2 linked regions of the Callithrix jacchus genome follow. The protein of the gene in region 1 interacts with the protein of each later gene in a pairwise test. Links are inferred from orthologs where the notes say so. Each region holds a gene or a part of one and is shown on either strand. Other genes may lie near its edges. The genes, in order: KIFBP and DOK2.

Region 1 (12,389 bases):
GCCATTGCACTCCAGCCTGGGCTACAGAGTGAGAGTCTGTCTCAAAAAAAAAATAATAATAATAATAGTCACCCTCATATCTAATATTTTAGTGAGCAGTTTTCTATATATTCATTTATAAAATCGGAATCATTTAATTTTGTGAATTGCTTACCCCCCAACATGTTATGCACAATTGTGTACAAGCCTACAAGGACAATTTTGAAGGACATGTTATCTTGTATGGTTATGTCACTATACATTTAACCAGTACTTGATGGCCGTGTTGGTTATTTCTAATTTTTCACCATTATAAACAACCCTAAGTTAACATCCTCATATACGTGTTTGCATACTTGTCTGTCACCTTCAGATATGTTTTTTAAAGGCAGCTTTGAACTCCTGGGCTCAAGTGATCTCTCCTCTCAGCCTCCCAAGTAGCTGAGACTACAGGTGGGCACCACCAAACCTGGCTAATATTTAAATTTTTTGTAGAGCTGGGGTCTCATTCTGTTGACCAGGCTGGTTGTGAACTCCTGGCTTCAAGCAATCCTCCTGCCTTGGCCTCCCAAAGTGCTGGGATTATAGGTGTGAGCCACCATGCCTGGCCTTTTCTAATTATCTGTCATGAGACAGATTTCCAATCATTACATTATGGTTTATGTATTTAATATATTTATTGTTTTCCCTATACCAGGGCATGGATTTTTGTCTTTTTTTTTGAGGCAGGGTCTATCTGTTGCCCAGGATTGAATGTGGTGGCGTGATCATAGCTCATTGCAGCCTTGAACTCCTGAGCTCCAACAGTCCTCTTGCTTTAGTCTCCCACATAGATAAGACTATAGCCATGTGCTGCCACACCTGGCCAATATTTCTTTTAAGAATTTTTTTGTAGAGCTGGGGATCTTACTACATTGCCCAGGTTGGTGAATTTTTGTACATTTTTTACTACGGAATTCCCAGCACCTACAACAGTGCCTGGCAAATGACAGACACTAAATATTGAACAAGTTTTTTTTCCTTTTTTTTTTTTTTTGAGACGGAGTTTCGCTCTTGTTACCCAGGCTGGAGTGCAATGGCGCCATCTCGGCTCACTGCAACCTCCACCTCCTGGGTTCAAGTAATTCTCCTGCCTCAGCCTCCCGAGTAGCTGGGACTACAGGCATGTGCCACCATGCCCAGCTAATTTTTTGTATTTTTAGTAGAGATGGGGTTTCACCATGTTGACCAGGATGGTCTTGATCTCTTGACCTTGTGATCCACCTGCCTCGGCCTCCCAAAGTGCTGGGATTATAGGCATGAGCCACCGCGCCTGGCCTCCTTTTTTTTTTTTTACAGTGTCTCCCTCTGTCTGTCACCCGGGCTGGAGTGCAGTGGCTTGATCACAGCTCACCACAGCCTCCATGTCCCAGGTTCAGGTGATCCTCCCAACCTCAGCCTCCTGAGTAGCTGGGACTATAGGAATCCACCACCATACCTGGTTAATTTTTTTTTTTTTTTTTGTAGACATGGGGTTTTGCCGTGTTGCCCAGGCTGGTCTTTAACTCCTGGGCTCAATCGATCCCCTCCCCTCCCAACTCCAGCCTCCCAAAGCACTAGGATTACAGGTGTGAGCCACCACACCTGGTCCAAATCATTTTAAATGTACTGGGGAATGCACTGATAGGAGGCCAGACTGGCAGGACTGCCTATTAGAAATAATCAGATGAGGCTGGGCACGGTGGCTCATGCCTGCAATCCCAGCATTTTGGGAGGCTGAGGTGGGTGGATCACGAGGTCAGGAGAAGACCAGCCTGGCCAACATGGTCAAACTCCATCTCTACTAAAAATACAAAAAATTAGCCAGGGCATAGTGGTGCGTGCCTGTAATCCCAGCTACTCGGGAGGCTGAGGCAGGAGAATCAATTGAACCCAGGAGGTGGAGATTGCAGTGAGCTGAGAGCATGCTATTGCACTCCAGCCTGGGCGACAGGGTGAGACTTAATCTCAAAAAAAAAAGAGTAATCAGATAATGGTGGCCTAAACTAATGGGAGATAAAAAGATGTACACAGAACTATTTAGAAGGCAGAATAGTACTATTTGGTTTTAGGTTTAATAATAAAAGAGACCTGGTACAGTGGCTCACACCTGTAATCACAGCACTTTGGGAGGCCATGGTGGACAGATTACTTGAGGCCAGGGGTTCGAGACCAGTCTGGCCAACATGGTGAAACCCCATCTCTACCAAAAATACAAATATTAGCCAGGTGTGGTGGTACACACCTGTAATCCCAGCTACTCAGGAGGCTGAGGTTGCAGTGAGCCAAGACCAAGCCAATGCACTCCAGCCTGGGTGACAAAGCAAGACTCCGTCTCATAAATAACAGAAGAGGCTGGGCTTGGTAATCCCAGCACTTTAGGAACCTAAAGTGGGAGGATTGCTTAAGCACAGGACTTCGAGATCAGCACAGGACTTCCTTCCCATTTGCAAATGGGAAGGAAGGGGCATGTGAAGAGGAAGATAATAAATTTAGACTTCAACATACTGACATACAGCAGCTATTGAAACATTCAGGTGTGATTGTTCTAGCTGAATGTTGGATATTCCAGTCTGGAGCTCTGGAAAGCCATCTGGCCTGGAGACAGAGTTGTGGGAGTGAGCAGCACATGTAATGATAGACCTAGAAATGGATAAGATCTCCCAGGGATAAGGTTTAGGAAGGAATTTTTAGGAGCATTAAAGGGACAGACATTTAATTTTATTTATTCTTCAGAATAATTCTGTGGAGGTAAGTAGTAGTATTTACATTTTACTATGAGAAACCTGAAGCTTAAAAAAGCTAACTTGTCAATAAGAAAGCTGGTCGATCTGAGATTCAAACCGTATGTCCATGACCTTCTAAAATCAATGCTCATTTGTATGTCTTGAAGCACTTTACACAGGTAGTTCTTAATAGTTAAAATCTTAAATCACCCCTCCCCATTTGACTTGATAACTTAGGAAGGTTGAAGATCTGAGGTGGCTTTCACAGTTGTGGGACTTAGCTCTTGTTACCGTGGGCAGTTGTACAGATTCCTACGACCTGTATTTCAGGGTCAAAGTGAAAATATTTATCTATCACTGTTTTGTATATTTATGGCTCTCACTCAGGAGATTACATATTAATACTGATAATAATTGCCAGGTGGGGTGGCTCACGCCTATAATCCCAGCATTTTGGGAGGCCCAGGTGGGTGGATCATCTGAGGTCGGGAATTCAAGACCAACCTGACCAACATAAAGAAACCCCGTCTCGGGCCGGGCGCGGTGGCTCAAGCCTGTAATCCCAGCACTTTGGGAGGCTGAGGCGGGTGGATCACAAGGTCAAGAGATCGAGACCATCCTGGTCAACATGGTGAAACCCCGTCTCTACTAAAAATACAAAAAATTAGCTGGGCATGGTGGCGCGTGCCTGTAATCCCAGCTACTTAGGAGGCTGAGGCAGGAGAATTGCCTGAACCCAGGAGGCGGAGGTTGCGGTGATCCGAGATGGCGCCATTGCACTCCAGCCTGGGTAACAAGAGCGAAACTCCGTCTCAAAAAAAAAAAAAAAAAAAAAAAAAGGAAAAGAAACCCCGTCTCTACTAAAAATACAAAATTAGACAGGCGTGGTGGTGCATGCCTGTAATCCCAGCTACTCAGGAGGCTGAGGCAGGAGAATCGCTTGAACCCAGGAGGCAGAAGTTGTGGTGAGCAGAGATCCCGCCATTGCATGCCAACCTGGGCAATAAGAGGGAAACAAACAACAACAAAAAAAGCAGATATTGGCTACATTTCAATCAGATCTTGGCTACATTTCAATTTTTTTTTTGAGACGGAGTTTCGCTCTTGTTACCCAGGCTGGAGTGCAATGGCGCGATCTCGGCTCACTGCAACCTCTGCCTCCTGGGTTCAGGCAATTCTCCTAACTCAGCCTCCTGAGTAGCTGGGATTACAGGCACACACCACCATGCCCAGCTAATTTTTTGTATTTTTAGTAGAGACGGGGTTTCACCATGTTGACCAGGATGGTCTGGATCTCTTGACCTCATGATCCACCCGCCTCGGTCTCCTAAAGTGCTGGGATTACAGGCGTGAGCCACCGCGCCCTGCCCAATCTTTTGTCTTAATTTTTAAGTTCCGGAATACATGTACAGAACATGCAGGTTTGTTACATAGGTATACGTGCGCCATGGTGGTTTGCTGCACCTATCAACCCCTCATCTAGGTTTTATGTCCCACATACATTAGGTATTTGTTCTGAGGCTCGTTTTTTCTTCTTTTCTAAAGCCGTCTCACTGTAACCACCTCTTGAGCTCAAGCGATCCTTCCGCCGCAGCCTCCATGGTAGCTGGGACTACAGTCGCTCGCCACCATGTCCAGCTAAAAAAAATTATTGTAGAGATGGGTCTTGCTATGTTGCCTACGGCAGTGTGGGCATCCCAAAATGTTAGGATTACAGACGTGAGCCAAGGCTCCTGGCCTTTTTTAAAACAGGTTTTTATCCAGTGATAGGCTGGGGTATACACTTAATGTCCAAAGGTTTTTGCCTTTCAGTTAATATCAACGCGAGTAGACTTAGCTAGCCATATTTGTAAAAAATATTCCGATATGCTTCATTGAAGTAAGCCGATTAAACATTTTTATTTTTATTTTATATTTTATTTTTTTGTTTTTGAGACGGGGTTTCCCTCTTGTTACCCAGGCTAGAGTGCAATGGCATGATCTCGGCTCACTGCAACCTCCGCCTCCTGGGTTCAGGCAATTCTCCTGCCTCAGCCTCTTGAGTAGCTGGGATTACAGGCACGCGCCAACATGCCCAGCTAATTTTTGTATTTTTAGTAGAGACGGGGTTCCACCATGTTGACCAGGATGGTCTGGATCTCTTGACCTCGTGATCCACCCGCCTTGGCCTCCCAAAGTGCTGGGATTACAGGCTTGAGCCACCGCGCCCGGCCTTAAACATTTTTATATAAATCCGTCCTCACAGGGTCAATCTAGATATAAACTCACCGCTGCAGGGGGCGGGGAAGGAGGCGGGAACATGCTCATTGACAACTTCATTTCCATGAGAATGGTTGCTGTGGTGACTGCTCCGTCTTCCCATTGGCCGCTGACGAACGTATTGCGGTTTTACGGGCGGGTTTTATTGGTTCCCGTTCAGCAGCGGCCCCGACCTGTCGAGAGCCGTAAGTAAAGTGTCGCAAAGCAGAAGGAAGGCGGGAGTCCCGACTGCAAACGTTGGGGAAAGCCAGGCAGTAGAGGCCGCTATGGCGAACGTTCCGTGGGCCGAGGTCTGCGAGAAATTCCAGGCGGCGCTGGCCCTGTCGCGGGTGGAACTGCATAAAAATCCGGAGAAGGAACCGTACAAGTCCAAATACAGCGCCCGAGCGATGCTCGAAGAGGTCAAGGCGCTGCTCGGCCCCACGTCTGAGGACGAGGATGAGCGGCCTGAGGCCGACGACTGCCCAGGTGCGGATGACCACGCCCTGGGGCTACCGGCTGAGGTGGTGGAGCCCGAGGGGCCTGTAGGCCAGCGAGCGGTGAGGCTGGCGGTCATCGAGTTCCACCTCGGGGTGAACCACATCGACACTGAGGAGCTATCGGCGGGGGAGGAGCACCTGGTGAAATGCCTGCGGCTGCTGCGCAGGTACCGGCTCTCGCACGACTGCATCTCCCTCTGCATCCAGGCGCAGGTGAGAGCAAGCCCCGCCAGGCCGGCCCCTGACGGTGAATGGCGAGGGATGGGGAGGAGCCCTTGCCAAGGCCAAGGGCAGACATTCTAAGGCGCAGTTCGTCTCCATGTTTTTTGAAGCTCTGGACTGAGTCCCAGAGAGCATCTATGATCTTCAACAAGGCGAGTCTAAAGGACTTATTGCTTTGTAACTAGATCTCCCACTGTCGCCCCCAAGCTCCCTGTTCACCCTTGTCGCCCACTCTAACATCGCTTGCTGTTGCTTCACTTAGTTGTGGCGATGCATTGGTGTCGGAGACCCTCCTGAATTGTCATGCATTTTCCTCTCCACCACTCCAACTCCTATTCATTCTATTAAGAAAATCCGAAGTAATTTAAATCTTAACGTTTCAAGGAAATGACAGTGACTGGAGTACATTTTTGTTTTGTTTTCTTAGAGATGGGGTCTCACTGTGTCGCCCAGGCTGGAGTTCAATGGTGCCATCATAGCTCATTGCAGCCTCCACCTCTTGGGCTCAAGCAATCCTCCTGCCTCAGCCTTCATAGTAGCTGGGACCACAAGTGCACCTCACTGCTCCCAGTAATTTTTTAAATTTTCCGTAGAGATGGGGGTCTCACTATATTGCCCAGGCTAGTCTTGAACTCCTGGACTCAAGTGATCCTTCTGTCTCGGCCTCCCAAATTGCTGGGACTACAGGCCAGAGCCGCAGTGCTTAGCTGAGGATACATTCTTTTTTTTTTTTTTTTTTTGAGACTGGAGTGCAATGGCATGATCTCGGCTCACCACCGCAACCTCTGCCCCCTGGGTTCAGGCAATTCTCCTGCCTCAGCCTCCTGAGTAGCTGGGATTACAGGCACGCGCCACCATGCCCAGCTAATTTTTTGTATTTTTAGTAGAGACGGGGTTTCACCATGTTGACCAGGATGGTCTCGATCTCTTGACCTTGTGATCTACCCGCCTCAGCCTCCCAAAGTGCTGGGATTACAGGCTTGAGCCACCGCACCTGGCTTCAGGATACATTCTTAATTCAAAACAAAATGTCCAAAATTTTTAGCTTCCTTTCTTATCAAATTCATTTGTTTGTATCTCAGGGAATTCTTCCCCATTCTTCAAAACCCATCTCAAGAATCACTTCCTTTAGTATTAATAACTTTCTTGGGACCATTTTGAACCAAACTGATCTCTCCTTCCTACCTTTGAATTCTTATAATAACTTTTTGTTTCCCATTTATAAGGTGTTTGGTTTATTCAGTAAATCTGGGCAGGGCAAGTGGCTTACATCTGTAATGCCAGCATTTTGGGAGGCTGAGGTGGGAGGATGGTGTGAGGCCAGGAGTCTGAGACCAGACTAGGCAGCAAGGTCAGACTCTGTCTCTACAGGAAAAAAAAACAAAACAAAAACAATGCCCCCACGCCAAACAAACAAACAAAAAAACCCAAAAAACTAGCCAGGCATAGTGTTACACGCCTGTGGTCCTAGCTACTAGGGAGGCTGAGGCAGGAGAATTGCTTGAAACTGGGAGGCGAAGGTTGCAGTGAGCCAAGATTGCGGCACTGCATTCCAGCCTGGCGACAGAGCAAGACTCTGTGTCAAAAAAAAAAAAAAAAAAAAGAAGAGATTGCAATTATCTGTCCAGAAACTAGAACAAGTTGTCAATGAGGATGTCTCCGAACTAAGAAATAAATAATATTGGAGATACGCACTGGTCCGGAAGCACTTGACAAAGCTAAGGCATTGGCAGCAGGTGCTGGAGGACATCATGTGCAGCACAAAAAGCCAGCCGATATCCGTCAAGCATTCAATATTCCTGCACCTCTGAAGTGGACCTGGACAAAAGGGTAAAGGCTGTTGGCCTGAGAGTGGGCAGGTATGGGAGACAACCCTGTGCAGATGGTTTGCCACACATCCCTTCTGTGGACTTGGCATTTTGGAAGAACCCTTTGCCAGAGGATGAGATGATTTTAATTTTATGCTCCCACCTAAAATTGTTTCACTGTTTTTATAGGGTGTTAATTTCTTGAGTACTTTATAATATGCCTGTAACTTGGGTAAACCAAGTAAACTTATTTTGTCTTAGGCAAAGTTTAGACTGTTAGTGTGGTGACACAGTTTCTTTTTCATGTTTTTTTTTTGTTTTTTTTTTTTGAGACAGAATCTTGCTCTGTTGCCCAGGTTGGATAGCAGTAGCACCTCATGGCTTACTGTAACTTCCACCTACTTGGCTCAAGCGATCCTTCCACCTCAGCCTCCCAAGTAGCTGGGACCACAGTTGTGTGCCACCACACCCAGCTAATTTTTGTATTTTTGTGAAGACTGGGTTTCATTTGATTGCTCAGGCTGGTCTCAAACTCCTGAGCTCAGGCCATCTACCTACCTTAGCATCCTAAAGTGTTGGGATTACCGGTATGAGCCACCATGGCTCGTCTTTTTAAAATTTTAGCATGACTTTTCATCTTCTATGTGTGTTTCCCATTGTTTAATATGAGGGGAAATTTCTAATAGCTTGAGAATCAAGGGGATGGGGATTTTGGTTGTAGGCCTTTTGTGATAATTAACCCTCAGTGGTGGTGTAGAAAAATATGTAAATTTTTTTCTGTTTTAAGACTTCAGACTACATCAAGAAGAGGACTGTAATGCAACAGTATTTGTAATGCTTCCAGAAGTCTCACATGAGGAGTTTTTTGGAAATGGGTTGGAAGAGGATTAAAATATCCTTGGTTAGTGTAGTAATATTACAGTAGGATCCTTAGGTTGATGCTGACTTTTATTTGGGGTAAGTTTATATTTTGTGTGGTATTTATTTACTTTTTTTGAAGAGGAGGATGTAGTAGGAACAGTGTTACAAATCAGTTTCAGTAATGGGGTAGACCTTGTTCTCAGTAGGGGTGACTTATGAGGGCTAAAGCTTGCTCTGATGGTCTCTTTTTGTTTTATTTTCTTTGATTTTATCTTTTTTGTTTTACATTTTGAGAGGAGAGAGATTTTCTATTAAGGAAGGTTATTCCTGGTGAATTTGATTATTGGGGTGTCACAGTGGGGTTGGGGAGGGACTGCAGCATGATCCTTGGCTACTGACCCTCTGCAAAGAGCATGTGGTGCCCCTGCCTTTGGGAAGATAATTTGCTCTCTTGTTAGTTTTGCAGGCCACCTCAGATTCTTTGTTGAATTGCTGTTAAGAAATACAGACCAGTGTTGTTTCTGGACTCTCTCGTTGGGTGAGGTTTTCCTGAGTTTTATGTCTCTTCTTAGTTCACATCGTGCTACTCAGAACAAATGCTTCACTCTCCTCTGAACAGGCAGTACTCCTGTGGTTCTGTGTCTTGGCTTGTTCAGTTTTCTTCAGCTTGAAGGCCCTTTGCCACATTTACTGACATCCACTTATGTTCCTGGTATGACCTGGATTGCCGCCTGGTCCCTGAAACCTTCCAGCGCCCATTCTGCAGCATTCCCAGAGCACAGGACTTTTCTCTTTTCTGCTGACTTTGCTTGGTTCTCCCTTGTGGGTTAGTAACTTCTGTCTCTTTGCCCCTCACTAATTGTTCACCCATGAGAATTAGGTATTATTCCTTTTAAATATACAGGGACCATATAGTCTTTACCTTTTATACATGATATGTATTACTCAATTTTGTGTGTGCAAGGTATCTGCTGGCACATGGACCTGTGATTACTAGCCTGAGGCAAACAGATCTCAGCTAGAATGCATAGGTTAAACAAAGCTTTTCTTTTTTTTTAATTTAATTTTATTTCTCTTTATAGAGAAATAGGGTTCATTTTAGCAGCTACCTGCTGTACTACATAAGGTTAGTATCATTGGGAATTATTAATTCATTGGTAATCCAACTCCACTATTTGATTCGTAAGTATTGACTTTAAAACTATGAAAGTTACTTTAATTGGAAGGCTTATATTATTGTTTGTTTCTCTTTTTCCTTATTTTCTAGAATAACCTGGGTATCCTGTGGTCTGAAAGAGAAGAAATTGAAACTGCACAGGCTTACCTAGAGTCATCAGAAGCACTATATAATCAATATATGAAAGAGGTATGTTACATGTCAGATAATTTTTCAGTTTTGATTGAAAACTAGTCAAGAATTGATAGTAAGAATTCCTCATGCATCATATCGCTGTGACTCTTCACTGTGCCCAGGAACTTCTCTATAGAGCTATTTGGGAAGTCACCTAATAACTGAAATTATTGCATATTAAGGACTTTGGGGTTTTAAAAAAATAATCCTTGGATAGGACATAATGGCAACCTAGTCTAAATACAATTATGAAAGAAACATTATTCTTTTTTTTTTGAGAAGGAGTTTTGCTGTCTTTACCCAAACTGGAGTGCAATGGCACGATCTCGGCTCACTGCAACCTCTGCCTCCTGGGTTCTAGCAATTCTTCTGAGTAGCTGGGACTACAGGCGCACACCACCATGCCCAGCTAATTTTTGTATTTTTAGTAGTGACGGGGTTTCATCTTGTTGACCAGGATGGTCTCGATCTCTTGACCTCATGATCCACCCGCCTCAGCCCAAAGTGCTGGGATTATAGGCGTGAGCCACCGCGCCCGGCTAAAAGAAACGTTATTCTAATGTTATCCCAAAATACTATTTGCATGTTTTTGTATTTATAATCTAAACATTCTATTTTGGTTTTCAATGAAAATACCACTGTTTGACAGAAGCAATAACTTTTAACAAAACATCTGAAATCTTTGAAGCAATGGTTCTCAAACGTTAGCACCCATTAAAATCTCCTGGAGAGCTTGTGAAAGCACAGCAGACTGGGCTTCCAGTCTCTGATTTAGTAGTTCTGGGGTGAGGCCTAGGAATTTGCATTTTTAACAAGGTCCTCAGTGATGCTTATGCTGTTGTCCTAAGTACTGTACTGTACTTTGAGAACCACTGCTTCAGGGCAATGGTTTTTCAATGTTTTTTTTTTTTTTTAACCTGTGAAACCCTTCTGAAAATACAGCGTATAAAAACTGATTTGAAGCTGGGCACGGTGGCTCACGCCTGTAATCCCAACACTTTGGGAGGCCGAGGAGGGCGGATCACCGAGTTCAGGAGTTTGAGACCAGCCTAACCAACATGGAGAAACCCCAACTCTACTAAAAATGCAAAATTAGCAAGCCTGTAATCCCAGCACTTTGGGAGGCCGAGGCGGGTCGATCACGAGGTCAAGAAATCGAGATCATCCTGGTCAACGAGGTGAAACCCCGTCTCTACTAAAAATACAAAAAATTAGCTGGGCATGGTGGCGCATGCCTGTAATCCCAGCTACTCAGGAGGCTGAGGCAGGAGAATTGCCTGAACCCAGGAGGCAGAGGTTGCGGTGAGCCGAGATTGCGCCATTGCACTCCAGCCTGGGTAACGAGAGCGAAACTCAGTCTCAAAAAAATAAAGCAAAATTAGCTGGGTGTGGTGGCGCATGCCTGTAATCCCAGCCAGTCGAGAAGCTAAGGCAGGAGAATTGCTTGAACCTGGGATGTGGAGGTTGTGGTGAGCTGAGATTGTGCAATTGCACTCCAGTCTGGGCAACAAGAGCAAAACTCCATCTCAAAAAAATAAAATAAAATGGATTGAGTTACTCTGGTTAAGGAGGTTAGAAGAACCCAGAGCCCAGTCCACTGCAGATTCTTCCTTCCTCCCCACTTCAGTAGTATAAAAGAGATGCTGTAGAACTTCTAGGGCTCTGGGGAGCTAATGCTGAAAACTCTCACTTTAGGGGTCACAGCCTATAAAGGTGACAAGCCACTGTGTTACATCTGTTTCTTTAATAAACTTTTTTTTAATATGAAAGAGAAATGATCAGGTACAATATTTTGCTGTGGATTACTATTTGTCACATCTGTCTGCTTTAAAAGCCCATTAATATGGCTGGGCATGGTGGCTCATGCCTGTAATTCCAGCACTTTGGGAGGCTGAGGCAGGTAGATCTCTTGAGGTCAGGAGCTCGAGACCAGCTTGGGCAACATGGTGAAACCCCATCTTTACTAAAAATACAAAACAGCCGGGTGTGGTGGCGCATACTTGTAGTCCCAGCTACTCAGGAAACTGAGACAGGAGAATCGCTTGAACCTGGGAGGCAGAGGCTGTAGTGAGCTGAGATCATGCCACTGCACTCCAGCCTGGGCGACAAAGCAGGACCCTGTTTCAAAAAAAAATCCATTAATAAAGTGTTTTTATAACATTAAAAAACTTGAAATAACATTATATATCATATAAAAGAGACTAAACATACAGAATTATGTTTGCTAAATTCAGGCATCAGAATGCTTGACTACAAAATGATATGAGAAGCTTGTATGCCTGTAATCCCAGCACTTTCAGAGGCCGAGGCAGGAGGGTCACATGAGCCCAGGAGTTTGAGACCAGCCTGGGCAACATAGCAAGACCTCATCACTACAAAAAATTTAAAAATTTGCCAGATGTGGCAGCACACACTTATAGTTCTAGTTACTTGGGAGACTGAGGCAGGAGTGTCACTTGATCCCAGGAGTTTGAGGTTGCAGTGAGGTATCATTGAACCACTGTACTCTAGCCTGGGTGACAGAGCAAGATTGGTTTGGTTTTTTTTGAGACGGAGTTTCGCTCTTGTTATCCAGGCTGGAGTGCAATGGTGCCATCTCAGCTCACCACAGCCTCCGCCTCCTGGGTTCAGGCAATTCTCCTGCCTCAGCCTCCTGAGTAGCTGGGATTACAGGCACATGCCACCA
Region 2 (12,303 bases), on another chromosome or scaffold:
AATCCTCCCACCTCAGCCTCCCTAGTAGCTGGGACGACAGACAAGCACCACCATACTCAGCTAATTTTTAAATTTTCTGGGGAGATGGAGTTTCCTCATTTTGTCTAGACTGGTCTCAAACTCCTGGGTTCAAGTAATCCTCCAGCCTCAGCCTCCTAAAATGATGAAATTACAGACGTGAGCAGCCGTGCCTGGCCCATGGCGTTTGTTGAATGAAGGAAGGTACACATTGCAGATGGCCGTGGTGCACTTGAGGCCGGAGTGGCACTGACACCATTCTCCGGAGGGTGGCCCACCCCTCAATCACATCTTCTGAGAGGGACCCTGATGGCCTGATCAGCATTTTCTCAACAACTGTCTTAAGGACTTTCATTACCCCTCCCAACTTCCCCAAATGCCACTTCCCCTGCCCCTCCAGCCCTCACGCCACCTTTCCCGAGGGCCCCAATCAACCACTTCCCCTTTTGAGGCACAGAGAGCATCAGAATGGAAGAATCCAAGTCCCTAGATTTGGAAAGGGACAGAGAGGGGACGAGGGAGCAATGTTCAACTTAGGACCCTGCACCTCTTGGAGGCAGGGTTCATACATCTGGGAGTGGGATTCTGAGGCTCTGAAGGGACGCTCTGACACACACACAGTCCTCAAATTATCCCCAAGCCCTTCGGGTAGTAAATGGCTTCCTTCAGGGCCAAGCCCCCAAGCCTGGCAGTGGCGAAGCTGCCAGTGGCCTTTTCCACAGGCTAACACTGCCCCCTGCCGGGCTGAGGCAGGAAGGCCACTTCAAATGCCGCCTTAGGAAATCCAAAATGTGGCTGCCTTGCCAAAGAGAACACCCAACTCCCACCGCTGGACTGAAGAAGGGGAAGAGTAAAAGCGTTAAGGGCAGTAGAGCCTTCCCGCCTTCAGTGATCCTGAGGCTGGGAAGGGATGGTGCCGGGCGACGCTCTTCTGCACAGACAGGAAGGCCCCCACTGGCTCTCCCCAGGCAACTCATCCATTGCTCAAGTTCCTTCAACAAGGGAAAAGGCCACAGTGAGAGGAGAAACAGAGGTCACAGCACACCTGGGAGGCAGACGTCCATGCCTAAGTCTATGCCCCTCTCCCTCCTAAGCGCTACTTCGGTCCAGCTCCAGGACTCGTCTTGCTGGATCAGTGCCAGCCATCTCCCTCTCAACGCATCAGAAACTAAGTTCATCCTGTTCTCAAGACCCAAGTCTCAGGACCAGCATGGGGGCTCATGCCTATAATCTCAGCACTTTGGTAGCTGAGGAGGGCAGATCACTTGAGGTCAGGAGTTCGAGACCAGCCTGGCCAACATGGTGAAACCCTGTTTCTACTAAAAAAAAAAAAAAAAGAATACAAAAATTAGCCTTGCATGGTGGCTCACACCTGTAATCCCAGCACTTTGGGAGGCTGAGGCAGGCAGATCACCTGAGGTCAGAAGTTCAAGACCAGCCTTGCCAGCATGGTGAAACCCCAGCTTACCTAAAAATACAAAAAATTAGTCAGATGTGGTTGGTGCATGCCTGTAGTCCCAGCTACTCCAGAGGCTGAGATGGGAGAATCACTTGAACCCGGGAGGCAGAGATGGCAGTGAGTCAAGATCGTACCACTGCACTCCAGCCTGAGTGACAGAGCGAGATTCTGTCTCAAGAGAAAAAAAAAAAAAAAAAAAAAACCAAGTCTCTCTAGAAAACCTCTTTCTCTGTGTTCCACATTGAGTATGAGTCCAAGATCCGCAGGGGCCAGCTGTATACCTTCTTTTGAATCCAGTCCTTTCTGAATTCTCCCTTCCCTCTTTTTTTTGAGCCAGGGACTTGCTCTCTTGCCAAAGCTAAATGATTCTCCAGCCTCAGTCTCCCAAGTAGCTGAGACTACAAGTATGCACCACCACACCTGGCTAAATTTGTTTCTTTGTTTTTATAGAGACAGGGTCTCACTATATTGCCCAGGTTGGTCTCAAATTCCTGGGCTCAAGTGATTCTCCCACTTTGGCCTCCCAAGTCGCTGGGATCACAGGTGTGAGCCACCATGCCCAGATGAATTTCCCCTTTTCAGTTTAGTCCCAACCTACCCCTTCCTACCCAAAATCCATCCTCCACAGGGCTATCAGGTTATTGCCCTAAAGCTCAGCTTTTATGGGACTCACTGTTCAAAAGCCTTGAGTCATTCCACCTTTCCCTCTAATTAGGTACCAATTACCCTTAAGACAGTCAGAACCTGCCTTCCCAACTAGATTGTGTCACCTTCCCCGAGCTCTGGGTGTAGAACTCCATCCTGAATGCGACACATCCATACGCCCCGTGGTTTCACCCACACTCCCATCCCCATCCAAGATGCTCCTTCCCACCCCAGAATCTCCATGGAACTCCTTCCCATCTGTAAACACCCACCTGAAATGGTATCTTTGATACGAAGCCTTTCTTGCGCTCCCAGGAAATAGTTATCTCTCGGGCACTCACACCCACTGTGAGACAGACACCTGTGCCCTGTCTCATCTCGTCCTGTTCTGGGCTGTGCACCTCTCACAGGCCAGGCAGTCTACAGCCTCCCACAAACAGACTATGCCGATAGTGGAAGTCCATGGACACACCCTGCCAGGAAAGCAGGTTTGATCAGAGGACCAAGCACAAGGACACAGGCTGACCTGCAGGAAAATGGGTGTGTGGGGGCCTGGGAGCCCAGGGCCAAAGGGAATCACAGAGCTGGAAGGCTGCTCAGTGCCCACATGGTGCAACCCCCTCATTTTACAAAGATGTACACAAATCTCAGAGAAGGGAGAGAGCCTAGGACCACGGAGCAGGTGACTCCCACCCCTGGTGTGTAAGAGGCTCCAGCAATCCAATGCTTTCCTTCCTTGCAATTCGGCTTTCCCTTGCTCCCCAGTGTTTCCCCCACCATTTCTCTGAGGTTGACCTTATCCTGGCAAAGGGGGGACATGCTTGAACACTGTTCTCAGGGCGCCCTGACTTCTTTTTTTTTGAGATGAAATCTCGCACTGTCTCCCAAGCTGGTGTGTGATGGCGCAGTCTCGGCTCACTGTAACCTCCGCCCCGCAGGTTCAAGTGATTCTCCTGCCTCTGCCTCCTAAGTAGCTAGGATTACAGGCACCTGCCACCATGCCTGGCTAATTTTTTAGAGATGGGGTTTCACTATGTTGGCCAGGCTGGTCTTGAATGCGTGACCTCGTGATCCACCCAACTCAGCCTCCCAAAGTGCTGGAATTACGGGCATGAACCACTGCGCTGCCTGGGTACTCCGACTCCTGCGGGCCTCTGGGAGGTTACCAGAGCGCAGCCTAGGCCCTGGGGGCACCTTGCAGCTGGGAGAGGAGGTGATCAAGGGTGGTCAGTTAGAGTCTTCACTCCCACAGCATTCATGCCACACAAAATGTTTCCAAAATGCTTTAATGCCACTGAGAAATCTGAAAGCTGAGGAAGCTACCGCCACCCACCTTGGTGCCTGGGCCCAGGCTGTCCCTGAAGTGGCCATCAGCAGTCAGGAGGCCTGCACAGCCAAGCAGCCCAGGCAATTGCTGACATCCTTTTGTCCTCTGCCCCAAATGCCCCAGGTTCCCCCTCAGCTGGGGAAAGAAAGAGGAGGAAGTGGAAAAAGAGTGGGAGGAGGGTGGGTCCTCCAGGGCACCCTTCCTGCTTTGGGATGGTGACTCACCCAGCAGGCCCTGGGAGGGGCAGTGTTTCAGCCCCAAGGAAGGCAGGCCAGGCCTCGGGCTCCAGAGGGGCAGAGGAGGGTCGTCTGATGCTGTGGCCATGAGGAGTCACCAGCAGAAGCCAGGGACAGGGCTGCGGCCTCTGTCACTACGGGCCTTTCTTAAGTATGACGTTGTCATACTCGGTTCCTGGCTGCCAGCCAGAGGCAGAGAAATCCTGCCCGGCTGGGTGGACATGCTGGAGGCCACTGGGGTCCCTGTCAGCTGTTGCCTGCCTCCTCCAGGCCTCACCCTGGGGCTCCTGTGGGCTGTCATAAAGGCACAGGGCAGCCACTCCCTCGGGCTCATCATATATGTGGTCGGGTCGAGGGGGCGGGGGCTCCTCAATGCTGTCGTACAGAGGGTCAGCCAAGAGCTGAGGAGGGACTGCCAATATGCTCCTGAAGTTATTTCCCAAGGAACGGGCCACTGCATCAAAGGGCACGGCATACTCCCCCTCTGGGCCCAGAGGCCGTGGAGCAGGTACTAGTGCGGTGGGTGAAGGCAGCGGCAGTGAGTCATGGGGCCGGGAGTAGGGGCTCTCAGGCCGGGGCAGTGAGGCGGGGATTGTGGCTGGCTGGGGTTGGGGTGCAGCGGGGGTGGCATTCTTCTGGGCAGAGATGGCCTCTTCCAGGGCCAAGAAGATATCATTGCCTTGCCGGGTTTCAAACTCAAAGTTGCCCTCTCCAGAGGCGCAGCGCCGGCCTGCCTCAAAGGAAAAGGTTACCTAGGCCAGGGAGAAAGGAGGTTATCGGCCAGCCACAGGGCAGGGATGCTTTCTTTCTTTCTTTTTTCTTTGAAATGGAGGGTCATTCTGTCGCCAGGCTGAAGTACAGTGGTGTGATCTCAGCTCACTGCAACTTCTACCTCCCGGGTTCAAGCGATTCTCCTGCCTCAGCTTCCCGAGTAGCTGAGACTATAGGCATGCACTGCCACACCCGGCTAATTTTTGTATTTTTAGTAGAAACAGGGTTTCAGCATATTGGTCAGGATGGTCTTGATCTCTTGACCTCATGGTTTGCCCACCTCAGCCTCCCAAAGTGCTGGGATTACAGGCTAAGCCCCTGCGCCTGGCCCAGGAATGCCTTCTAAACCCTATCTCTAACCCATGCCCTGGGACCTCCAGCTTCCCTTCACCAGAACCTCTGTGCTTTTCCCTACAAGCAGACTTGGCTCTCTCCTCTCCCATCTCCAGGCCCTTCCTGCTCACTGCTCCATTCAAGGATGGAGCCAGGCACTAGTTCAGCCACTGTTCACTCCTCCATGGTCTCTCCACCTCTTCTCATTCTCCTTTCTCCTTCCTTCTCCTCCACTTCCACCATCTTGTCACTCTCCTCTTTGCTTCACTCCGTCTCCCTCTCCTAGTCTCTCCCATCCCCTCGATGCTTCTTTTCTCTTCCACTGGCCTTTATTCTCTGCCTTTGCTTCCTCCCACCTCCTCCTCCCCACCATCCTCTCTGCCTCTAATGGCTCCCTCGGCCTCATCTGGCCTCCTCTGCCTCTCCCTGATCACCCACTTTGTTCATAGCTTATCCTTTCTCCCAACCCAGCCCGATGCAGCTTCCCACTCACCTTGTCCCGCCCAAAGCGCCGCAGAAACCTGTAGGGCCAGTTGTACAGCTGGGTCCCTGGTTCAGGCCCACCCCACAGCTCCAGAGCACTCTCCCCCGCCCGGAGGGTATAGGACCCCCGCAGGTGGCACCTCTCGCTGGCTTCTGTAGATCTCATGGTCACAGCAAATTCCTTGCGGGGGCCAACTGGGGAGAAGAGAGAGAAGGTGAAGGCAGTTAATGGGAAAGAGCTGGCCTGCCTCACCGCTGCCCAGTTCTAAATGACTGTGCCAGAAGTGTTCTAGAAAGAATATTATCCACGTACTCATGACCGCCCATCTGGGTCTTGGAGGCTGAGCTGCTCTATGCCAGGTCATACTCCCCAAAAGGCCAGGTACATCCACCCCCTACCCTAGTAGGCCTCATGTCCCTACCCACATCCACCCCAACCTCGTGCCCACATCCTTCCTGCCCCTGTTGCCAGAGCCACAGTCTTGTCTTCCCCACCCCTTCTCTCACCCCAAACCAGTCACCTCCCCAATCCCTACTGTCACAGCTGCAGGTGAAGCCTGGCCCTGCCCTCCCACTGCCAGGGCCCTGGGGGGTAGAGCTTAGATGGAAGGCAGATGAAAGCTGCTTCTCCCTCCACCAGCTCCTCAAAAGCAGCACCTGGGCCGGTGTGGTGGCTCACACCTATAATCCCAGCTCTTGGGGAGGCTGAGGTAGGTGGATCACTTGAGGTCAAGAGTTCGAGACCAGCCTGACCAACATGGTGAAACCCCTGTCTCTACTAAAATTGCAAAAAAATTAGCTGGACATGGTGGCGGGCACCTGTAATCCCAGCTACTCAGGAGGCTGAGGCAGGAAAATGGATAGAACCTGGGAGGCGGAGGTTGCAGTGAGCTGAGATTAGGCCATTGCACTCCAGCCTGGGGGACAAGAGCAAAACTCTGCCTCAAAAATAAAAATAAAAAGGCAACACCTGGGCCCCTAGGGTTCCCCTCTCGCACCAGCAGGCCCTAGGTAAAATGGGGTGAGCCAAGGGAGACACTCAAGGCAGGCCAGGCTCCCCTCCGCTGGGCTGTACCCGGAAGTGAAAAAGAGAGGCTGATAAGGTGGCTGGCCCCAGCTGCGGGTAACCACAAGGCAGGAAGACTTTGGGCCAGCAGCTAGCTGGCCCACACCTCCTCTTCACCTCAGCCTGGGGAGAACCCCCAGGGATAGCAGGGCAGCCCCCGCCCCTCACCTGTGGCCGCGCAGCTGTACAATTCATTTTCCTCCATGCACGGCCGGCTCTGCTTTCCCTCTGGCCCCGAGAGCTCCTTCCTCTGCCCCTGGGAAGGAGGCCCCAGGTCTCACCACCTTCCTCCCCAGGTCCCCCTCTGACCCAGGCCTCCTTGCAGGGCACCCCAGCCTGCTGGCTCTGTCTGTGCGCTGGGTTCGGGTCCCCTTCTCAAGGAAGCACCCTGACCTTGACTTCTCTAACACCTGCCCACAGGAAGCATGTAACACCCTGGCCTGCATGCCCCCTTGCCCTTTCTGCACCCCAGGGTGACTCACCGGGAAGGCCAGGAGGCAGATGGCCTGCACCCAGTCGCCTCGCTCTGCAGTGGGGGCCGCCAGTAGGTACAGGCGTTCCTTGGTCTCCAGGAAGAAGGCACTGGTGTCCCGGGGGCTGCTGGCCTCTCCGCCGGCCTCAGCCACCCGCAGGCAGTCACTAAGGCGAATAACCTTCCGGGCAGCCTCACCCCGACGGGGCTTCTCCGGACCCTCCTGCAGCTCCAGCCGGGCCAAGGCGCAGTCCGACTCTCCATACAGCGCAGCCCCGAAGCGGCGCCATTTCTGAGCCAGAGGCGTGGGAGGCGGGGGCCCAGAGGGGGCCACCCAGAGACAGGGGAGATCGTGACTCAAGGGGAGAAGAGGAACCGTGGGAGGGGGACCGGGACAGCCACGGGAGATGGGGAGAGAGAGGTGAAGATCACAGGAGACCCAGGGAGGCAGAGAAGAGGACAGGGACTGCAGGAATCAGAAAATCGGATCAGCCGCCAGCCGCCAGCCCCCAGAACGAGGCCCACGAGCAGGAGCACAGACTGCCCAGGCAGAAAGCAACACCGGGATGAGCCCTAAGCAGGCTGCAAGAAGCCAAAGGGGGCCACCCCAGCGGACTCCAGTCCCCAGGAGGAAAGCCGGGCAGTGGCCAAAGCTTTCCTCCAGAGGAGGGAGTGAGGAGGGCAGCATGTGGCCCAGCCTAGAGACCTCATTCTCCTTCTGTACCAAGTCCTGAAGAAGGCCCCATACTCCAGGAACGTCTCTCCACCCTCCTGAACCTTGCTGCCTCACTGCTTGATAGGTTGGGCCATGAGAGAGAGACAGGTGTGCCCCCAGTGTTGGTCAGCTGGGGGATGAGGACTTCCTGGTTCAAGGAGGCCAGGGAAGGAGAGAGAGGATGGACAGCTGGCTGGGTCCCAGACCCCAGAAGCCCCATGCATGAACACCAGCCACATGCACCTCACTGGGGTGAGGAAGGAACCTCTCCCATCATCCTAAACCGTCCCTCCAGCTGCCCTTCCCATTCCTTTCCAAGATGTCCTGTGAAAAGAAGCCAACACAAAGTAAAAGAGCAAAAGAGGCAAGAGATGAAGCCAGCACATCCCCCTACCCCCACCCAGGGCAAACAGCCCTCAGCAAAGAGCACAGTTTGGGACCTGGTTGGGGCCTGGTTCAGGAGACAGCGTCTGGTAGGGAAAGAGCCCTCCCAAGATTGAGCTTTGAGTCTGACTTGGTGAGTGTACAGTCAGACCTATAAGGGTTTTGAATATGAAACTCTGCACCTCAGGAATTTCTAGCAGTCCTCCAGGCCCAGTCCAGCCTCACTCCTACCTTTCCAAACGTCTGCTGCTGCTGAAGATACAGGAAGCCCTGCTTCACTGCCCCGTCTCCCATCCTCTGACCATCTCGGAGCCCCTGGCTTCAGCTCTCTCCTTCACTCCTGCCCTCTCCTCTGTCTTCTCAGCTGTGTGTTCCCCTTCTCTGAAGTTCATTTCCTCTCTGCCTAGAGTTTTCTACACTATTCTAGTCTGCTTGATGACGACAGGCTGATAGGCCCTGTGGTTTCTTCTGTGTGTGTGTGTGTGTGTGTGTGTGTGTGTGTGTGTGTTTTCTGAGTGAGTTTTATACACAAGCTTCCTGCATTTCCAGTGAGTTACAGACAATTTACAAAAAGGCAAGTGCCAGCTCTTCAGTGAGCAACAATTCAGGTACAGAAGTTGGCACATGGAGGCACCAGCAAACAGGGGCTGGCCTGCTGGAACAGAGACCAAGAAACCAAATTAGACAGTGAAACCAGCAGCAGAAGGGCCCCACCTCAAGCTGTATGCAAGTTGGAAGGGACAAACCACTAAGTTACATATAAGGAAACTGAGGCTGGGAAAGCCTGAGGAACTTATCTGAGGCCACCAAACCAGGCTTCTCAACTCTAACAGGTGAACCACACACACGACATGGCACAGAGAGACACATAAGACAGCTCATGTGGGCCTAACCAGACACCACTTTCCCATACACACACACACACACACAGAGAGAGAGAGGTGCCACCATTTAACTACATGGGAGCACTCCCTGCCTGCCAAGAACACACACTGACACCAACCCTGCAAAGATTCAAGAAACATGATCATCTCCTCTGGAGAAGGAACTGACTCCCCAAGTACACCTCAACTGCTGGATTTTTGCCTTCTTTCCAGCATTCTTGAGCATTAGAAAGATGCTTAGGTTTCATCTGCAAATTATCTTAAGTTTCAATAGCAATCACTTTCATATATATTTTGAAAATGCCTCATGGTTGCCGAAAATGCTTCATAGCTCCCAGTTTCCAGGCCCACACTTTCATCAGCCACTCTACCCCTCGACAAAGGCAGGGCAGGTGTGAACACATTTATTTGCATCTTGCCTGAGGTCAGAGCTAGGCAGCAGAGGAAGAAGTAGAGACCAGGGCTCCTGATTCAGCATTTCGCAGGCCCCTAAATGGAAGGCAGATCCATGCAAGAAGACCCATTGCTTTAGGGAAATCCAGGCTGCTCAGAGAAGTTTAGCTTAAAGCCAGAGGGTTTAGAAAGCAATCTGCATAGAGGCACGGTGCAGAAATGCTGGAAAAAACTGAGGCTCAGACCAGCAGTTCATTCTCTTGGGGTTCATTCCATAACAGGTGCTTATATACACAGGCCCACTTCCTCTCCCACAGGGGTTCAGTTACCCTGGCAAGGAGTGAGAGGACCGTGCACAGCTCAGGCCTGCTGTACATGCCGCAGACCAAATCAGCTTGAAAAGGTGAATGTCAAGAGCTCTGCGAGGACAGGGCTGAGTCACTTCAAGCTCACCACCCCCCACCCTGCTGCCTGGGTTGGAAGAGTTTGATCCAAAGCTCAAGGGAGAACCAAGGATGCTGTTTTGGGAAAAGCACACCTTGGAAAGTGGGTAGTTGTATGAAAATGGGATGTGGCCTAATCTTCCCCTTTAGTCCCTAAGGAGAATCAACTCTGCCTGGGAGCTGCATGGTCTCTGGCTCAGGGAGTGAGAAGAGGAGGGCTTTAGGGCCACCCTGGGGGCTGCCAGAGCAGTGCCTTCCAAACTGTAACACGTAGATCTTGTTAAAAGTCCAGGGCCGGGCGCAGTGGCTCACGCCTATAGTCCCAGCACTTTGGGAGGCCGAGGTGGGTGGATCACGAGGTCAACAGATCGAGACCATCCTGGTCAACAAGGTGAAACGCTGTCTCTGCTAAAAAATACAAAAATTAGCTGGGCATGGTGGCGCGCGCCTGTAGTCCCAGCTACTCGGGAGGCTGAGGCAGGAGAATTGCTTGAACCCAGGAGGTAGAGGTTGTGGTGAGCCAAGATCGTGCCATTGCACTCCAGCCTGGGTAACAAGAGCGAAACTTCGTCTCAAAAATAAATAAATAAATAAAGTCCAGATTCTGGCCTGGATGTGGTGACTCACACCTGTAATCCCAGCACTTTGGGAGACCGAGGCAGGCAGATCATGAGGTCAAGAGATTGAGAACATCCTGGCCAACATGGTGAAGCCTCACATCTACTAAAAATACAAAAATTAGCTGGGTGTGGTGGTGCATGCTAGTTGTCCCAGCTACTCAGGAGGCTGAGGCAAAAGACTGCTTGGACCCGGGAGGCAGAGGTTGCAATGAGCTGGGATGGTGCTACTCCAGCCTGGCGACAGTAAAACTCCGTCTGAAAAAAAAAAGTGCAGATTCCAATAAAGCCGGTCTGGAATGAGCCCTGAGATCCTACTGGTAGTGAGTGGGCCAAACCACACTGAATAGCAGGGTAACAGAGAATGTCCCCTGCTACCCTGATCGCCTTCCCTGAAGGTAAAACAGACACATTCCACTAGGAACCACAGGGGGGCACCCCAGCTTACCAGATTACTTGAAAGCTATTTCAATCCAGAGGCTGGAACCTCAGGCAATCCAGACACCCCAAGTCATCCCTTGCCTATGGAAGCTGGAGAAGTTCTCCGGTTGCTGTTGTCTGCAGAAGATAGGGCAGCAGAGCATATATGAAGAGTAACACCCTTGCAGTCCTTCTAGGCCCCTTCAACCGTCCCTAGCAGGATTTGTGGGGACCCTGAAGTAGAAGCAATAACCCCAGTACCTTCTGTCTAACCACAGGGAAACCCAGAGCAGGAGCCCAGAGACATTGCTCCAAGACACAGCAGAAACACAGAATTATATGCCCTGAGGATCCGCAGGCACAAATGATGTGTAGAAGAAGCACTGTATGCCAGGCGCAGTGGTTCACGCCTGTAATCCCAACACTTTGGGAGGCTGAGGTGGGTGGATTACCTAAGGTCAGGAGTTCAAGACCAGCCTGACCAACATGGTGAAACCCTGTCTCTACTAAAAATACAAAAATTAGCCAGGTGTGGTGGCAGGCACCTGTAAATCCCAGATACTCAGGAAGCTTAGGCAGGAGAATCGCTTGAACCCAGGAGGCGGAGGTCGAATTGAGCCAAGATCGGGCCACTGCACTCCAGCGTGGGGGTGGGGGGGGGCAAGAGAGAGACTTTGCCTCAAAAGAAAAAGCATTGTAAAGGAATTTAGGGTGCCTCTTGGCTTCGCTTTGGTTTTTTTTCTTTTTTTTTTTTTGAGACGGAGTTTCATTCTTGTTACCCAGGCTGGAGTGCAATGGTGCCATCTCGGCTCACCGCAACCTCCGCCTCCTGGGTTCAGGCAATTCTCCTGCCTCAGCCTCCTGAGTAGCTGGGATTACAGGCACGCACCACCATGCCCAGCTAATTTTTTGTATTTTTAGTAGAGACAGGGTTTCACCATGTTGGTCAGGCTGGTCTCGAACTCCTGACCTCATGATCCACCCACCTTGGCTTCCCAAAGTGCTAGGATTACAGGCGTGAGCCACCACGCCTGGACTTCTCTTTGTTTTTAAGGAAAGGAAGAGGCACTCCAAACCCCACCTGTGGCTCATTCTAAACCACTGGGACCCCAGTCCTATTCAATGGTTTCTCTCAGCAGGAGTCAGGAAGGACAACTTTGCAACTTTTTGTTACTATTATGCTGCAGTGATTAGCCACCCAATCCTAAGGGGTAGCTCTGGACACAAACAGAAAAGTAGGTACAGGATGGGCAGAGAACTGATGTGGCCCTGAGAAGGGTAAAGGACGGAGTGAAGAAATCAGTGAGCAAGTATTCTGAAGGATCCCCTCCCTGCCCCTTCCACCTTCAGTGGGGGGGGAGGGGGGGAAGGACAATGCCAGTCTCTTGAGTTTCATTTGTAGCCCCTACCCTTTCTCCACTAAGTCTATCAATTTTCCGGTAGGCGTGGTGGCTCACACCTGTAATCCCAGCACTTTGGGAAGCCAAGGTGGGTGGATCATGAGGTCAGGAGTTCGAGACTAGCCTGACCAACATGGTGAAACCCCGTCTCTACTAAAAATACAAAAAAAAAATTAGCTGGGCATGGTGGTGCGTGCCTGTAATCCCAGCTACTCGGGAGGCTGAGGCAGGAGAATT

The links.
Region 2: the proteins of KIFBP (region 1) and DOK2 interact in a two-hybrid assay, tested with the Homo sapiens proteins (2 studies listed by BioGRID and IntAct). The two-hybrid records come from large-scale screens. The link is inferred for Callithrix jacchus from reciprocal best matches to the Homo sapiens genes KIFBP and DOK2.

What each region holds. Positions count from the first base shown.
Region 1 is NC_133513.1:61,081,827-61,094,215, reverse strand, and holds the start of KIFBP (KIF-binding protein), read left to right. Parts: upstream 1-5,199; 5' UTR 5,200-5,248; coding exon 5,249-5,674; intron 5,675-9,619; coding exon 9,620-9,718; intron 9,719-11,995; exon of another isoform or gene 11,996-12,389. UniProt on the Homo sapiens protein: Activator of KIF1B plus-end-directed microtubule motor activity. Required for organization of axonal microtubules, and axonal outgrowth and maintenance during peripheral and central nervous system development.
Region 2 is NC_133514.1:19,594,648-19,606,950, reverse strand, and holds DOK2 (docking protein 2), read right to left. Parts: upstream 8,293-12,303; 5' UTR 8,204-8,292; coding exon 8,141-8,203; intron 7,103-8,140; coding exon 6,821-7,102; intron 6,595-6,820; coding exon 6,507-6,594; intron 5,468-6,506; coding exon 5,283-5,467; intron 4,438-5,282; coding exon 3,820-4,437; 3' UTR 3,390-3,819; downstream 1-3,389. UniProt on the Homo sapiens protein: DOK proteins are enzymatically inert adaptor or scaffolding proteins. They provide a docking platform for the assembly of multimolecular signaling complexes. DOK2 may modulate the cellular proliferation induced by IL-4, as well as IL-2 and IL-3.